Linked DNA regions of Daphnia pulex. The protein of the gene in region 1 interacts with the protein of each later gene in a pairwise test. Links are inferred from orthologs where the notes say so. Each region holds a gene or a part of one and is shown in the gene's direction. Other genes may lie near its edges.

The links.
Region 2: the proteins of calreticulin-like (region 1) and ubiquitin-conjugating enzyme E2-17 kDa interact in a two-hybrid assay, tested with the Caenorhabditis elegans proteins (2 studies listed by BioGRID). The link is inferred for Daphnia pulex from reciprocal best matches to the Caenorhabditis elegans genes crt-1 and ubc-1.

The regions. Positions count from the first base shown.
Region 1 is NC_060026.1:14,044,941-14,052,661, reverse strand, and holds calreticulin-like, read left to right. Parts: upstream 1-2,829; 5' UTR 2,830-2,965; coding exon 2,966-3,047; intron 3,048-3,655; coding exon 3,656-3,760; intron 3,761-3,828; coding exon 3,829-4,032; intron 4,033-4,093; coding exon 4,094-4,245; intron 4,246-4,313; coding exon 4,314-4,622; intron 4,623-4,691; coding exon 4,692-4,856; intron 4,857-4,921; coding exon 4,922-5,140; 3' UTR 5,141-5,237; downstream 5,238-7,721. Other genes in the region: synapse-associated protein of 47 kDa-like, read left to right, coding at 1-74, 141-280, 343-494, 554-682, 786-928. UniProt on the Caenorhabditis elegans protein: Molecular calcium-binding chaperone promoting folding, oligomeric assembly and quality control in the endoplasmic reticulum (ER) via the calreticulin/calnexin cycle.
Region 2 is NC_060018.1:6,450,130-6,456,861, reverse strand, and holds ubiquitin-conjugating enzyme E2-17 kDa, read left to right. Parts: upstream 1-2,822; 5' UTR 2,823-3,058; coding exon 3,059-3,102; intron 3,103-3,192; coding exon 3,193-3,273; intron 3,274-3,384; coding exon 3,385-3,589; intron 3,590-3,687; coding exon 3,688-3,813; 3' UTR 3,814-4,118; downstream 4,119-6,732. Other genes in the region: probable citrate synthase 2, mitochondrial, read left to right, coding at 63-110, 329-478, 540-737, 791-979, 1,047-1,246, 1,317-1,420, 1,487-2,019. UniProt on the Caenorhabditis elegans protein: Catalyzes the covalent attachment of ubiquitin to other proteins.

The DNA.
Region 1 (7,721 bases):
AAGGATCCATCCCACCTTGGGTCGGTTACCCGGAAGAGGAGGCCCTAAAGGCTGAAATCTTGTCACTTTCAACTGTAAGGGATTGATTATTTTATTTGTTTTAAAGAGCAAATCCGTATGGCCCTTTCCTGTCGTTGCAGGATCGACGCAATTTTGTGAGAAGCCCACCTGCAGGCGTTGATTTCCAGTTCGACTATGATTCTTTCTACCCGATCGCCCTAGCAACACTCGCTGAGGATCCAAACCTGGAAACAATGCGCTTTGAACTGGTCCCCAAAATGTAATTGAATATTTTCGTTTTGACTCTTCTTATCCTTAACCAAATTACTTTGATTAATGCAGCATCAAAGAGGAGCTATTCTGGCGCAACTATTTTTACCGGGTTAGTCTTTTAAGGCAATCGACGGAACTTTCTTCGATGACCCAAGGAGAAGGCAACAGGGACTCTGCCAACCATTCTCGTGAATCTAGCTTCGACGAAGAGGACAAAACAGGTAAAGATCTATTTTTCAAAGTGATGCAATTAGTCTTTTTAACTTTGATCCTTCGGCAGAGGGCGCCGATACGCCTGATTCTCCGATGAACGAGTTTGTTTCCGATTCATATCAAAGCAACACGCTATCCAAAGACCTGAAAGAAGTCCAGGAGGGCATCAAACGTCTGGGCACCAAGAAACCGAACGGTATTTAGGAATGTCAATAATCCTTAATTTTAAGTATCAAGGAATCATGGCTAGAATTTCCTTTTCTTTTCCTTCCTCTATGACTAATAACTAACAAAAACAGATGAAGAATGGGAAAAGGAGTTACAGGCCGAGCTTCAGGATTACGAACTCGGCAGCGAAGGATCTGGACAGACAGGTGGAGCTGACGCCGACGATATTGAAGAAATGTTGGACGCGGAAGAATCGCATGGGGATCTAAAGTAGTGCGTGTGTCATGCAGGATCGTGTACCCGTAACCCCGCATCAACCTGGACGTTCCTTGCACAGTAGTTGATGTCAATTTTTTTCTATCTTTCTCTCTCACTCTATCTCTCTATTTTCCTGCGCGATCATTCGGTTTTTTACTCGGAAACCAAATCATCGGTGTATGCAATCCGGTTCGTATGTGTGTCTGCCCTTTCAAGGCGACCCCCCCCCCCTCTCCCCCGTTTTTCTTGTAGCCTCTGCCTGGAGAAAAGAACCAGTTCCTCCAAAAATTGCCCGAGCTAAAATTAGTCAGAAAAAAATTTCTTTTTCCTTGTGTCTAGTTTTCTTCTTTTCTCAACTGCAAAGTTCAGCCATTCCCTTTTATGTGTGTGCTTTCTTTCCTGGCTTTCCGACGATAGTTAGAGGATGTTTGCACAACTGTTGTACCCATTTTTTCTCGTTTTCCAAACACACACTTCCCTGAGTAGCCACAGTGAAAACATCATCGGTCTCATATTATCGTTTATCTGCGATTACTTAGGGTTAAATTGGCACGACGTAGTAGGTCCGCAATATCAAAAGTTGAGCATTCCGTGCATTGATTATTTGGCAGGAAAAAGTTTATATTAGTTGTTAAAGAAAGAATGCATTCGTTTTTGCGTTTTTCTCGGTTGTTGTGCGTTATCGTCCTCTCCCCTTCTGAATGTTGTTGCACGTGAAAATCACCTCAATTTCCCTAATTGCTATTCGAAGACGAATTGGCAGCAAACAAAACCTTATTATGTATATAATTAAAAATTAATTGGTGTTCACACATGGCAGGATAAGAATAAGGAAAAAGAAAACCGGACTTAGAAGCGCGACCTCACAAAAATAACATCGATATACAAAAAAAAAGAAAAAATATTTGGTCCATTTTGCAGTGTTTCCTCCCCTCCCCCTTTTAATACCAAATTCTCATGATTGCAAAACCCCAAATTTACATGTAATCTTCTAATTAATTGTCCTCTCTCTCTCTCTTTTTCTCTCTTTTTGATTGTAACATTATTATTCTATGTGTGTTTTCTCGGTTGTTAAACGGTTCGTTTTTTATTATCCCCCCCTTTCGTCGGATATGATGTTTTCATGAATATACGGTTGTATAAGCGTTACGATTGCTTGTGGTTGATTACGTGTCGATTTTGGTCACTTGTCTACGTAGTAAGAATCCCCTCCAATTGGGATGTAACGCGCGTCTTATCCCTCGGTACGTGGTCCAATCTAATCGCAAGACAACACCCCCCGAGCTATACGTCACATGGCTGTATGAACATGTGGGAATATATGGTATCCCAACTTTTATTGAAAGGGAGAATCGGAGAGATATTCTATTTACGACACGTCATCGATATTGAGATTCCATATGGGCATGTCAGATTACCAATTTTGATTACCTGAAAATGCATACAGGAAATGCTTGTCAAACTCAATATAACAATATCAGGATTGTTTAATAGTCCACAGAAAAGAATTTGGCCGTGAATGAAAAAAATGCGCATTAACAATAGAATACATAAAGTTCATGAGAATTAAATTAAAACGCGTTTTCATAGATGACCGGATAATACGAAAACTGGAATAAACGTGGAAAATTGAACGCCTGCCAGACGGCGCAATTTGATTGGTACACGACAGTCACGTGACGGCCAGAGAAAAACGTGAGTTCGTGAATGAGATGAGCAACTCTCTAGAAGATTCTACCCCGATGATTTGCGCGCCACCTAACGATGAGCTCTCGGTAGCCTGGGGAATCTTCCCGGGCCTTCATATGCAACACCGGCTAGTAGCCCCTCTATCGCTAGGTAGCAGGTCGATCGGATACCACCCACCAAGTGGCTCATCTCTCTGGCTCTAGTGTGACAAACCGACCAATGAGAGCATTACGGGTGTTATCCACCTTCCCATTCCCTTTCCGTAAAAACTTCTCCTGAGTAAAGGAGAGTCATCACGTCAGTTTGTCTCACTCGTCTGTCCTGGTCACTCGTTCATCGTCTTCAATCACATTCATTTGTACAAATGAAAGCTTTAGCATTATTAATCGCCTTGATCGGCGTTGTTGCGGCCGAAGTCTTCCTCGACGAGCGATTCTCAGATGGAGGTAAGAAAAAGATTCATAAAGTATTTCCCTTTTTTCCCGATATCTGGTTGATGGTGGAGAGGGTTACTTGTCAAGGGTAGCAGGGGAGTCTTTTTCTAGAAATTTCGTCAGCTTACAACAGGAGGCTGTGTAACACGTAAAACAAATATTCTAGCTATTTTTAACATATCTGCCATTTTCACACGCAAGCACTTTGCATGCCAAAGCCAAATGCTTGATATCGTTGTAATGCACGAATTATTTGGACGTGGCAATATGAATTTCACTTTTAATGCCACTAAAAAAGAGTTTAATTACAATCAAGTTGATCATCTGTTTTCATCGCTGCCATGCGGAATTAAAACGACGTGAACGAGAGTTTGCGGACGACAAAAAAATTTGAAGGTTAAAAATAATTAGAAAACGATCCTAACATTTTCCGATTAGTAACAAGAGAAATAGAAATTATGATAAAAGCCAAGTGAACTAGAGATAACAGGAAAAAGTTCTTCACCTTCAAACTGAAGTTGATGACGTTTAGCGTGCCACGACCTCTACCCGGCTTTTTCGATTTGTCGAGTTCATGTGTGGCATTTGGTGACGTGTACGTCTTATCTTGTTCTTTTCAGCTGCCTGGGAGAAAAGGTGGATCCAGTCGACCAACAAAGGTGAAACAGCAGGCAAATTTGTTCTCACTCACGGCAAATTCTACGGTGATGCTGAAAAAGATTTGGGTAAGGATTAATCTGGATTTTATAAATTATTTTGGATGATAGTTGATGACATGAATTGCTCTTAATAGGTATCCAGACTTCCCAAGATGCCAGGTTTTATGGCCTTTCCACTAAGTTCAAGCCCTTCAGCAACAAGGATAAGCCACTAGTCCTCCAATTCACCGTCAAACATGAACAAAACATTGACTGTGGAGGTGGCTATGTCAAGCTGTTTGACTGCAGTTTGCAGCAAGATGATATGCATGGAGACTCTCCATACCTTATCATGTTTGGTAAGTTTTATTAATAGTTTGTTGATATAGTAGCTGAAATAACCCCCAAATCCTGTCACAGGCCCTGACATTTGCGGTCCCTCCAACAAGAAAGTCCACGTCATCTTCAACTACAAGGGAAAGAACCATCTCATCAAGAAAGAGATCAGACCCAAGGATGATGTTTACACTCACTTGTACACACTCATCGTTAAGCCAGATCAGACCTACGAAGTAAGTCCATTATTAATTGCTCACCTTTCACACTGTTTATTCATTGGACTGTTTGTCTTCTTCCACAGGTTTTGATTGATAACGAGAAAGTTGAGTCTGGTGATTTGGAAAGTGACTGGGATTTCCTGCCTGCCAAGACCATCAAAGACCCCGAAGCCAAGAAACCCGAAGATTGGGATGACCGTGCCAAGATCGATGATCCTGAAGATGTCAAGCCCGCCGACTGGGATGTTCCTGAACACATTGCCGACCCCGAGGCCAAGAAGCCCGAAGATTGGGATGATGAGATGGATGGTGAATGGGAGCCTGCTATGATCGACAACCCTGCCTTCAAGGGAGAGTGGAAACCCAAGCAGATCGACAACCCCGCTTACAAAGTATGTATAACTATTTAAAAATGTTGATGGGAGGCTTTGTCTTTATAAAACTTTTTTGCTTAATCGCAGGGTGTCTGGGTCCACCCAGAAATCGATAACCCCGAGTACGCCCCCGATGCCACCATTGGTAAATACGACGAATCCTGCATCATTGGTTTCGATTTGTGGCAAGTAAAGGCTGGCACCATCTTCGACAATGTCCTCGTCACCGACGATGTTGCGGAAGCCAAAAAGGTAATAATACAAATTAGACTTTTAATGGTTGTTTGTACAGAAAGTAATTCTAAATTTTTCATTAGATTGGTGATGAGCTGTGGACTGCCACCAGCAAAGCCGAGAAGAAAATGAAGGAAGCTCAGGAAGAGGAAGAACGGAAGAAGATGGAAGAAGAGGCCAAGTCAAAGAAAGAAGACAACGAGGATGAAGATGACGAAGATGAAGACGATGCCGAGCCCAGCAAACCTGCTGCACCCGCTGAAGAAGCCGAAGCCGACAACGCAGACCACGATGAGTTGTAAAATGCAAAAATAACAAACACACACAAGGAAGAGCTGACAGAAAACTTAGGTTCCACCAAAAAAAAAACAATACAACAAAAAAATTTATATAATTTAATCAGCTGTTCCATCTTTATATCGGCGGTTAATAAGTTGTCACAATTCAACAGAGGTATTAAAATCTGATGCATCTCGGTTCCAATAATCTTTAAAAAAACAAAAAAGCTGAGGAATTCTAGCTCAAGACAAAAAAATAATTTTGGAACTGAAATTGAAAAAGAATTTAGACTGTTATATTGCTTCCCGTTTCTTTGTAGTCTTGTTTTTTTTTCTCTCCCCCCTCATACGGTGTTGTTTTGTAATTCGTCTATTTGAATGAAGGTTTTTTTTTTTCAATTTAAACCATGGCGTCACATCATCCCTCTTTTTATACAAAATGAGCTCGAGGCGCCCGTTTAATTCCTACTTTTTTTTAAATACATTGCCGATTCCCCTATCTGGGGAGTGAGTATGATTGATAAAAAAAACATTTATATTTGAATAATTTTAAACCATGAGTTTGTTATTTTCACCGCTAGATGGTGGAGTGTAAGCACAGGGGCGCTGATTTTTAATCATTTCTTTCGACGATCTTTGGCAACCAATTGATCGACGAAGAAATGGAGCTCAAGTCATTGACCCCATGGTTCGAGTGGCCTGCCAGTTATGCAATTGAAGTGCTGGCTATTCGTTGAAACAAAAAGGACAATAAACTAAAGATCAATTGATTTAAAAAAGTCGTTTGACAACTATTACAAAGTCAGCCGTTACTTGCGGTTGTTTAACCTCAATAAATTGTGCTGCGCGCCTAGCGTCGCCAGTTTCCCTCCGGGTCTTTTGGGGTTCAACTTTTTCTTTTTTGATGAAGTGTGCATAATAAATTTTTTGGGGTTAGGGCAGAGCTATAGAATACTATAATAGTCCGCGGATGTTTTTTTGTTTGTTTGTTTGTTTTTTTTTTTTGCGAAGAGGAGGATCGGATCGATGAACGAATTACTAATTAGCCCGTTTGATGCTTCTGAAGACGATGGCGATCGAAATGAAGCTAAACAAATTTTTTAATGAATAAGACGGGCATAGAATTTTAAATTAAATTTTAGTAGAATTTGACGAGCGAATCGACGATTCGCGTGAAACAACGACATCAACCACATGACCTGGAAAGACGAATTCTGTCATGTCTTAGAATAAATAAAAAAAGGGTTTCTCCAACTTTGTTCATTTCTTCATTTTCAGAATTAATTGCAGTATAAAAACATATTAGTAGAAATGTTGTCCAAAGAAATGTTGTAAATGACCACGATACTTCTACTGAGCCATGGCTCAGCTTCTGAAATGACTACCATTCTTCTCTAGATAGGTCTCCGCCATCAATAGTTGTTGTATCCTCCTCTTTGAATACCTACGCCATCTGGATTCAAACGGCCTGATGGAGGCTGATGATGCGGTGGTGGTGGATGGAATTGTCCAGGATAGTTTGGAGCGAAATGACCTGGTCATCCTCTTCGCTTCTGTCATAAGAACCGGGAGGTTCACCACCTCCTCGATAGTTGTTGGGATCAGGACCTGGACCCCAACCGCCAAAAGTTTCCTTCGCCATGCCGATCACTCATTTGTGGAGGTGGGGGAGGCGGATAACCGCCTTCCATCCGCATGTCGACTTCAATGGGCTGCATTGTGGGTCCTCCAATTCCTATATAATGCATTCTTCTTCATTATCCATAGATTATGGTAGACCACCCCACGCTTGATCTCCACCTGGTGGTCCGTGATGATCTCTCCCTATTCTTCGATCCGAAAATTAGTTTAAATGACATGACCTAAACTTAAAATCATGAGCGTACCTCTGCCTGGAGGTGGAAGTAGAGGTCCACTTTGATTAAATCGGCCCTGATGGTGCTTTGGCTGAAAGTATGGTCTATTCATTGGGCCTTGGCTATGAGGTGGTCGAGAATGAAAGCGATCTGGTTCATGATTGCTGTTGCAGTTCGAAAGGGGAACGATCCCAATTTCCCATTTCTGAAAAAAATATCCGACAAATACATAAGTTCAAGTTCATCATTTTTTTCCTACTATTTAAACCAAACCTTGAGGTGGACCACCGTGGTGATTATAGTGGTTATTGTGTTGCTGCAGTTGTTGTTGCTGCAGTTGTTGTTGCTGCAGTTGTTGTTGCTGCGGTTGCTGTGGTAATTGATGGTGGTGGTATTGCTGTTCAGCTCCTGGTGGTAAAGGATGACTATTCCGAAATTTAGTACAATGTCAACAGCAGAAGAATCATTTACGTATATAAAATTAATTACCTCTCTGAGGGAAGTCTCCTAGAAAATTCCCAGTCGGTGTTAGACCAATCTCTGATGAATGACCCCTGTTGTAGCACGTAGAGACGTCCAGAACAGGTGTTCGAGAGCGCGGATAAAAATCGCCGTCGTCCAATTCTCGATCTTGATTATATTCGCCAGTTGGAATTATTTTGGGTTTAGTTTCCTCCTCAACAGTCACTTTTCAAGCCCATTGACGGTAGAACCTGATTTAATTCTTCTTCGCCGTGACGAATGGCTCG
Region 2 (6,732 bases), on another chromosome or scaffold:
GGTCACTTTACCCAGCTTTATTAACTTTCGTCATTGCTAGTTAAACTGCATCTCTTGTTGACATGGCTCTGTTTCGCACATTATCTTTGCGGTTAAGCTCCCCTCCTCAGGTAAAATATAATTGGTATAAGTGAAAAAATCCTCGACGTCTTACTTCTGTTCGAAACAAATTTCCGCCTTTCTAGGATCCATTTCTTTAAATATTGCAAAAATTCTTTCCATGTCTTTTTTTAATTAGCACTTTTGTTTCAAATGGTGCCTCTAATATATATAGTTGTATAAATATTGGTATTCTCATTATGTAACACATTTTATAATTATCCTGCAGGGCTCTATTTCTACCATTGTAAGAGCATTCTCTGATCATACTGATCTGAAGGATGTTCTTAACAATAAAATCCCTTATGAACAGGAACGTGTCAAGAAGTTCCGTAAAGAACATGGCAATGTAAAAATTGGTGAAATTACAGTGGATATGGTGGGTTACACATATGAACAAATCACATGATGAATCATAAATAACCCACAAAAAAAACTAGGCATATGGAGGTATGCGCAGCATGAAAGGTTTGGTCACAGAAACATCTGTCCTAGATCCTGAAGAGGGAATCCGCTTCAGGGGATTATCTATTCCAGAATGCCAACGTATGCTACCTAAAGCTAAAGGCGGGGAAGAACCTCTACCTGAAGGTTTATTCTGGCTTTTGATTACTGGAGATGTTCCAAATGAAGCCCAAGTAATATCTGATGGATATATCACTTGTATGTTTTACCTAACTATTTTTCTTAGGTGAAAAGCTTGTCTAAAGAATGGGCAAGCCGTGCTGATCTTCCATCTCATGTTGTGACCATGCTCAATAATTTCCCAGCCAACCTTCATCCAATGTCACAGTTCAGTGCAGCAATCACTGCCCTGAACAGTGAATCCAAATTTGCCAAAGCTTACTCTGAGGGACTTCACAAATCTAAATATTGGGAGGTAGGTGACCATTAATATTACATGTTTTTAAACACACGATATCAATCGATTGATGTGACCGTTATAGTACGTCTACGAAGATTCTATGGATTTGATTGCCAAACTTCCTACTGTCGCTGCCACAATCTATCGTAATTTATATCGCGATGGATCTTCGATTGGAGCGATCGATACCAAAAAAGATTGGTCAGCTAATTTCGCATCCATGTTAGGATACACCGACCCTCAGTTTACCGAACTGTTGCGACTTTATCTAACTATTCACAGGTAATGCCGTCTTGGCATTATAATTAAGTCAAGTTTAATTGGCGTTACTATTTTTTAAATGTTTTTGTAGTGATCACGAAGGAGGAAACGTTTCGGCACATACAGTCCATCTGATAGGATCTGCTTTATCAGATCCATACTTGTCATTTGCTGGCGGTATGAATGGATTAGCAGGTATTCTAATTTAGCACGGTTTATATGTAGTGAGGTCCAAATTAAAATGTTGTTGTTGTTTACCAGGACCTCTTCACGGACTGGCCAATCAAGAAGTTTTGGTGTTCTTAAACAAAATTACAGCTGCTTTGGGAGATGGGTGGACTAAAGAGGGTTTGGTCCAGCTCATTAAACAGCAGCTTGCTTCTGGACAAGTAGTACCTGGGTATGGCCATGCTGTGTTGCGCAAAACTGACCCGCGTTACACTTGTCAGCGTGAATTTGCTCTCAAGCATTTGCCCGACGACAAGATGTTCAAGCTTGTTGCCCAGCTATACGAAATTGTCCCAGATATCCTTCTGCAAACAGGAAAGGTCAAGAATCCTTGGCCAAACGTTGACGCCCATTCTGGTGTTTTGCTGCAGCATTACGGCATGTCTGAAATGAGCTATTACACCGTACTATTCGGTGTATCTCGAGCACTCGGTGTGCTGGCATCTTTGGTTTGGGATCGTGCGTTGGGTCTCCCACTCGAGCGACCCAAATCCATGTCAACTGATGGACTTATGAAATTAGTTAAATCCCTCCAATCCCAAGCCAATGCGGCAAAAGGAGCGTAATAATTTTGACGAACTGATAGTAATATACAACCTTACTACATGTTAAAGAATCAAACTTTTACTTTGTTTTCGTGTTGACTGTAAGTCGAATCCGTGTTAGATTATTCCTGAGTGTGCGACACCATCTCCTGGAATTTTTTCAATGCAAACCTAAATAGAATTTCTTAATAACGGCGACTTAACTGGAACAAGGGATTGGTACAAACACGTTTCGATGGTGTCACCTGTCATAGTAGTAATGAGAAGTTGATCGTCTGTAAAACCCTAAAGTAATAGTTGTAATACCCACAATAATAAACGTTTTCACTGGATGTAACTACACCGAAGAATTTTTGATTGATTTTGTGTTTCAAAATTTTATTTCAACTTCAGCGCTACTTTTTCGTCTTCTCCAACTGCTACAAGCCCAACACCCACCCACCCACCTCCCAAAAAGAAAAAGCTTGCATTAAGTTAATGAGAACATGTTTTCCCGGCAACTTCAAGATATTATTTGTTACCTGTATTGACATCACCGGTTTTGGGCGTTATGCACAAATATGGCTGGTTTGGAAATGCTGTATCTAAAAAGTTGTTTCTTTTCAGTTTTTTTCTTTCTTTTAATAAAGCTATTGCGCAATGACGAAATATTCTAAATTTAATTCTATTTTTTATGTTATTTTCTAAACAAAAGAAAATATTTTTTTCTCGTTTTTTTTCTGTAGCTACCTACGTTCATTCTTTTCATTGGTTCATATTGATGAAAGTGATTGAAAAATTGTAAATGGACGGTTACCACTATCAAGTTCTTAAATATTCCACTAGGGCGCTGCCGATTTCTAGTACTAGGCTACTAGCTGTATGGCTGCCCCAGTTAAGGATTTCTTCTGTTCTCAGCTCACTTCGTAACAGATTTTATGGTTTAGGTTGATCGATAGTCGATTGAATTTCTCTTCGAAGGATAAATTCTTAACGCAACAGTTTCAATAAAGTGCTCAGATAACTTATTATATCAGGTTAACTGCGTTTATTTCGGTCGAATAGGGTTAATCAACAATTAATGTCTACACCAGCCAGAAGACGATTAATGAGGGACTTCAAGAGGTTAATATACTTATTTTAAACTAAGCTCCGTTAAAAAAAGAAGTGTATTCTTTACGCTTATTTTGTTTTTATCTCATGTACATCCTCTAGATTGCAAGAAGATCCACCTGCTGGGGTAAGTGGAGCTCCAACGGACAACAATATTATGATATGGAATGCAGTTATATTTGGGTATGTTGAATGCTAAATGAATTTCTTTACTTAATTATTAACAAATAATGTTGGTTTTATTTCCTTTTTTTGCACATTGAATATTAATTATTTTTTTTTTAATATTTTCAGCCCCCATGACACTCCATTTGAAGATGGAACGTTTAAGTTGACCATTGAGTTCACTGAAGAATACCCTAATAAGCCCCCTACAGTGAGATTTGTGTCAAAAATGTTTCATCCCAATGTTTATGCTGATGGAGGAATCTGCCTCGACATCCTTCAAAATCGATGGAGTCCCACCTATGATGTCTCTGCAATTCTCACCTCTATCCAGGTAAAATATGATTCATACATCTAAATACTATGTGTATTTATGTTTTGATTGATTATTATTGTTTGATGATTGATTGAATTCTTTATCAATTTTTTTAGTCACTTCTTAGTGATCCCAATCCAAATAGCCCAGCCAACTCGATGGCAGCACAGCTATACAAGGAGAATCGACGCGAATACGAAAAACGAGTAAAGGCTTGTGTGGAACAATCTTGGATGGATTAGCTTGTTTGAAACACCAACCTTTGCTTTGCTTTTTGCCTCAACTTTCCTATATTCCGTTCTTCAAATTTCCCCAACCATCAATCAGTTAAGCCCAGGTCTTATGGACCTCACTACTAAGTGTTTTTTTTTTTCTTTCTCAATTTCCTTGTTGTATATTGCTGTTTCCCATTGGTGATTGACACCTCACCGTTATGTTTCTGCTTCAGAAAAAGCGAAACCTGAACTTTTAAAAGCAGGTTGGAATGTAGTTCAGCAAGAATCAATTTTTTATTCACGAGAAATACAAAAGACAAATTGAAATCCGATAAGAAGTTCCCAACTAGCAAAGACATCTTTAAAACTATCGTAAAAAGAATTACAATGATTGCTAAATAAATTTTCGTGCCCATCGTCCTTCACGTGATAGCTTAGTATAATTGCGAAATTCTTTACACTTGATTTACCTGTATTAAAAAAACCTTTTGCTAGAAATTTAGCTGTATCAGTTCGTTAATTTTACGTGGCCAAGTAATAATTAATCGCTAGAAATAGTGCATTAGTTATTATGTATTCATGTTCATAAAACAAATGGGCAAATTAAAGTACAAACAAGATTGTAGTATTGTAGTAATCATTTTGAAAAGGCTATAAGTTTGGATGTGCAGTTACTGCAGTAATCGATGGATTCTCCTTCGTCACTATGGAACTTTGCACAACCGATTTTCTGCATGGACAAACCGTGTAGGCCTGTATACCGTTTGACGTTTGTGTCGTTTGAATGAAATTGCATCCCTAGGAATGAACCCTTTATACAAAGAGAGGCTTGCGTTACGAAGCTTAAGTACTATTCGACAATCGGCCTACTAGCCAGTAATAGTAAACTTTCCCACGGATGGTTCAGGTGTGAAAACGAACGCTGGTGAATGCATGAGCCACATAGATAGATTAGGTATTCAGGAGATCAGTTTGCATAATTCCCTTTTTCATGATCGGTACTTGATTTCTAATTTTCGTTTCATGAAATGTAGTATAGCTATATTTTAAATCCTAGATAGAAAAGTTCGGCTAGTCAACTGCGATACTTTTAGATGGATGAACTCATAGCTTGAGAACCTCACCGCTTGGAGAAGAAGCTACGCCTGGTACTTCCCGTTCCGTCTATTGCCGACTTCCCGTGGCCAAAAACCTCTGACGATAAAATAAATAAATAAAATCAAAATACGAAAATTCCATAAATGTTGTTTAATATGAATCATGCTGTTAACAGTGATTCACAGTGATTTAAATTGTGTTTAGTACATAAAGAATGGATACAAAAATTGAAAAACATATTCTAGAGCATCCTGTTTCCTGTTATATTTACATTGGTTGCACAGTATCAAAATAACTTTGACTGAGTAAATGTCTGAAAATCATCCGTGTACACTATAAAGCTGTCCTAAATCCACTTTTAAAACACGACTGTAGAAAATATTTAGTTCTGTGTAATTCGTAAATCAAAGACATGTATTCGTCCTTTTACGGTGCTGACTGGATTTCCGTTCATTCGCAATAAATTGGTACGGAGATAAACATCAAATAAACTTGAAATAACAAAAGCCGGAGAATAAATTAAACTTCCCTCTCGCTTATTGCTTTCGTATGTGAAAGCATCCCTTCTGAGGTTGTGTGCATAGAAAACATACGAAAAGGTAAATCCAGCGTGTTTCCTAAAGAGCTATTTTTGGTTTGGGTTTATTTTCAGACTAGCGCGCTAGTAAGAAACTCGCTAGTATTCGAACTATGTGGCGCGCCTTGCAGGATCCACCGCAAAATATATTCTTTACCACCCTTTCGCCTCCTAAAAACGGCGACATATAACATACCAGAACCAATAGCAGCAACCTACATCAGCTTTTCGCTCGATCCACACACATTTTGACTACCCACTATTTAGGGTGTGTTTTTAAACCCGCCTTCGGTTCAACGAATACATTATACAGGAATAACCTAAAATGAGAAAAGTCCGTTTTTTTTTACAACGGTCAGTTTAGACCACGTATTTTTTTGCAGAAAATTAAATTCTAGAATCTTATCGCCATAGGGTTACTATATGGCCTTCATTAATATTGCAGACAATTTCACGTTTCTGTCTTATTCGATGTCACACAGTTTGGAAATAATGGCGCAGACAGCATCTGTTTTATATTGAAAGTTAATTTGAATGTAGAATATTGAGATTTCGTTTTATTTGAATTTTTCAACTCTCAAGTTGGCAGTTTTATTACGTATTTGATTACTTATTTAACGACATTTGGAATCATTCATGTCTGTTATTAGTTACCGGAATGTATGACTCAATTTTCATTTGGAAAAAAATAATAATACAATTTTATATTTTCTTCTTTAATTAAATTTAAATGAGCTGATTTGTCCAATTGCATTAGGATCCCTTGAAAAAAAAACACATTCTGAAAAAAGGTCCAATAGATATAGTGTCAAAAATGAAACAGGAAAATGTTAGTTGCTTATTTTCCTCCTCAAAATGGATTCTATTTTCTCCTTCTGTATGAAACTGGGCTTTGCAAAAAGTAGCTCGACTTTATCCAAACTATTTTAATCCAACTTGCTCGTTAAAGGTATAAAACTTGAGAAAACACGGAATAAAAACAAAACGAAAAGGAGAGGGAGACGACATGAAGAGAGACAAGAAATTTTTATTTTATTTTATTTTTTTTTTATTTTTTTTTATTCTAGCCAGTTCGGCAGATTGTTGCTGTAGTTCTCCCGCTTGCTGGGGATTTTTTCTTCACAAGTCCAACCGGTACTGTCGCGCCGTCGACCAGTCTATTTTCAGGACAGACTGGCTGACGGTTGCTGCTGCTAATACTTGCTCTTGCCCTTCTGGGATCCAAGTGATTGCTCTCCTCCACAGTAAGTCGTCTCCTCTGCAGTTGGCTA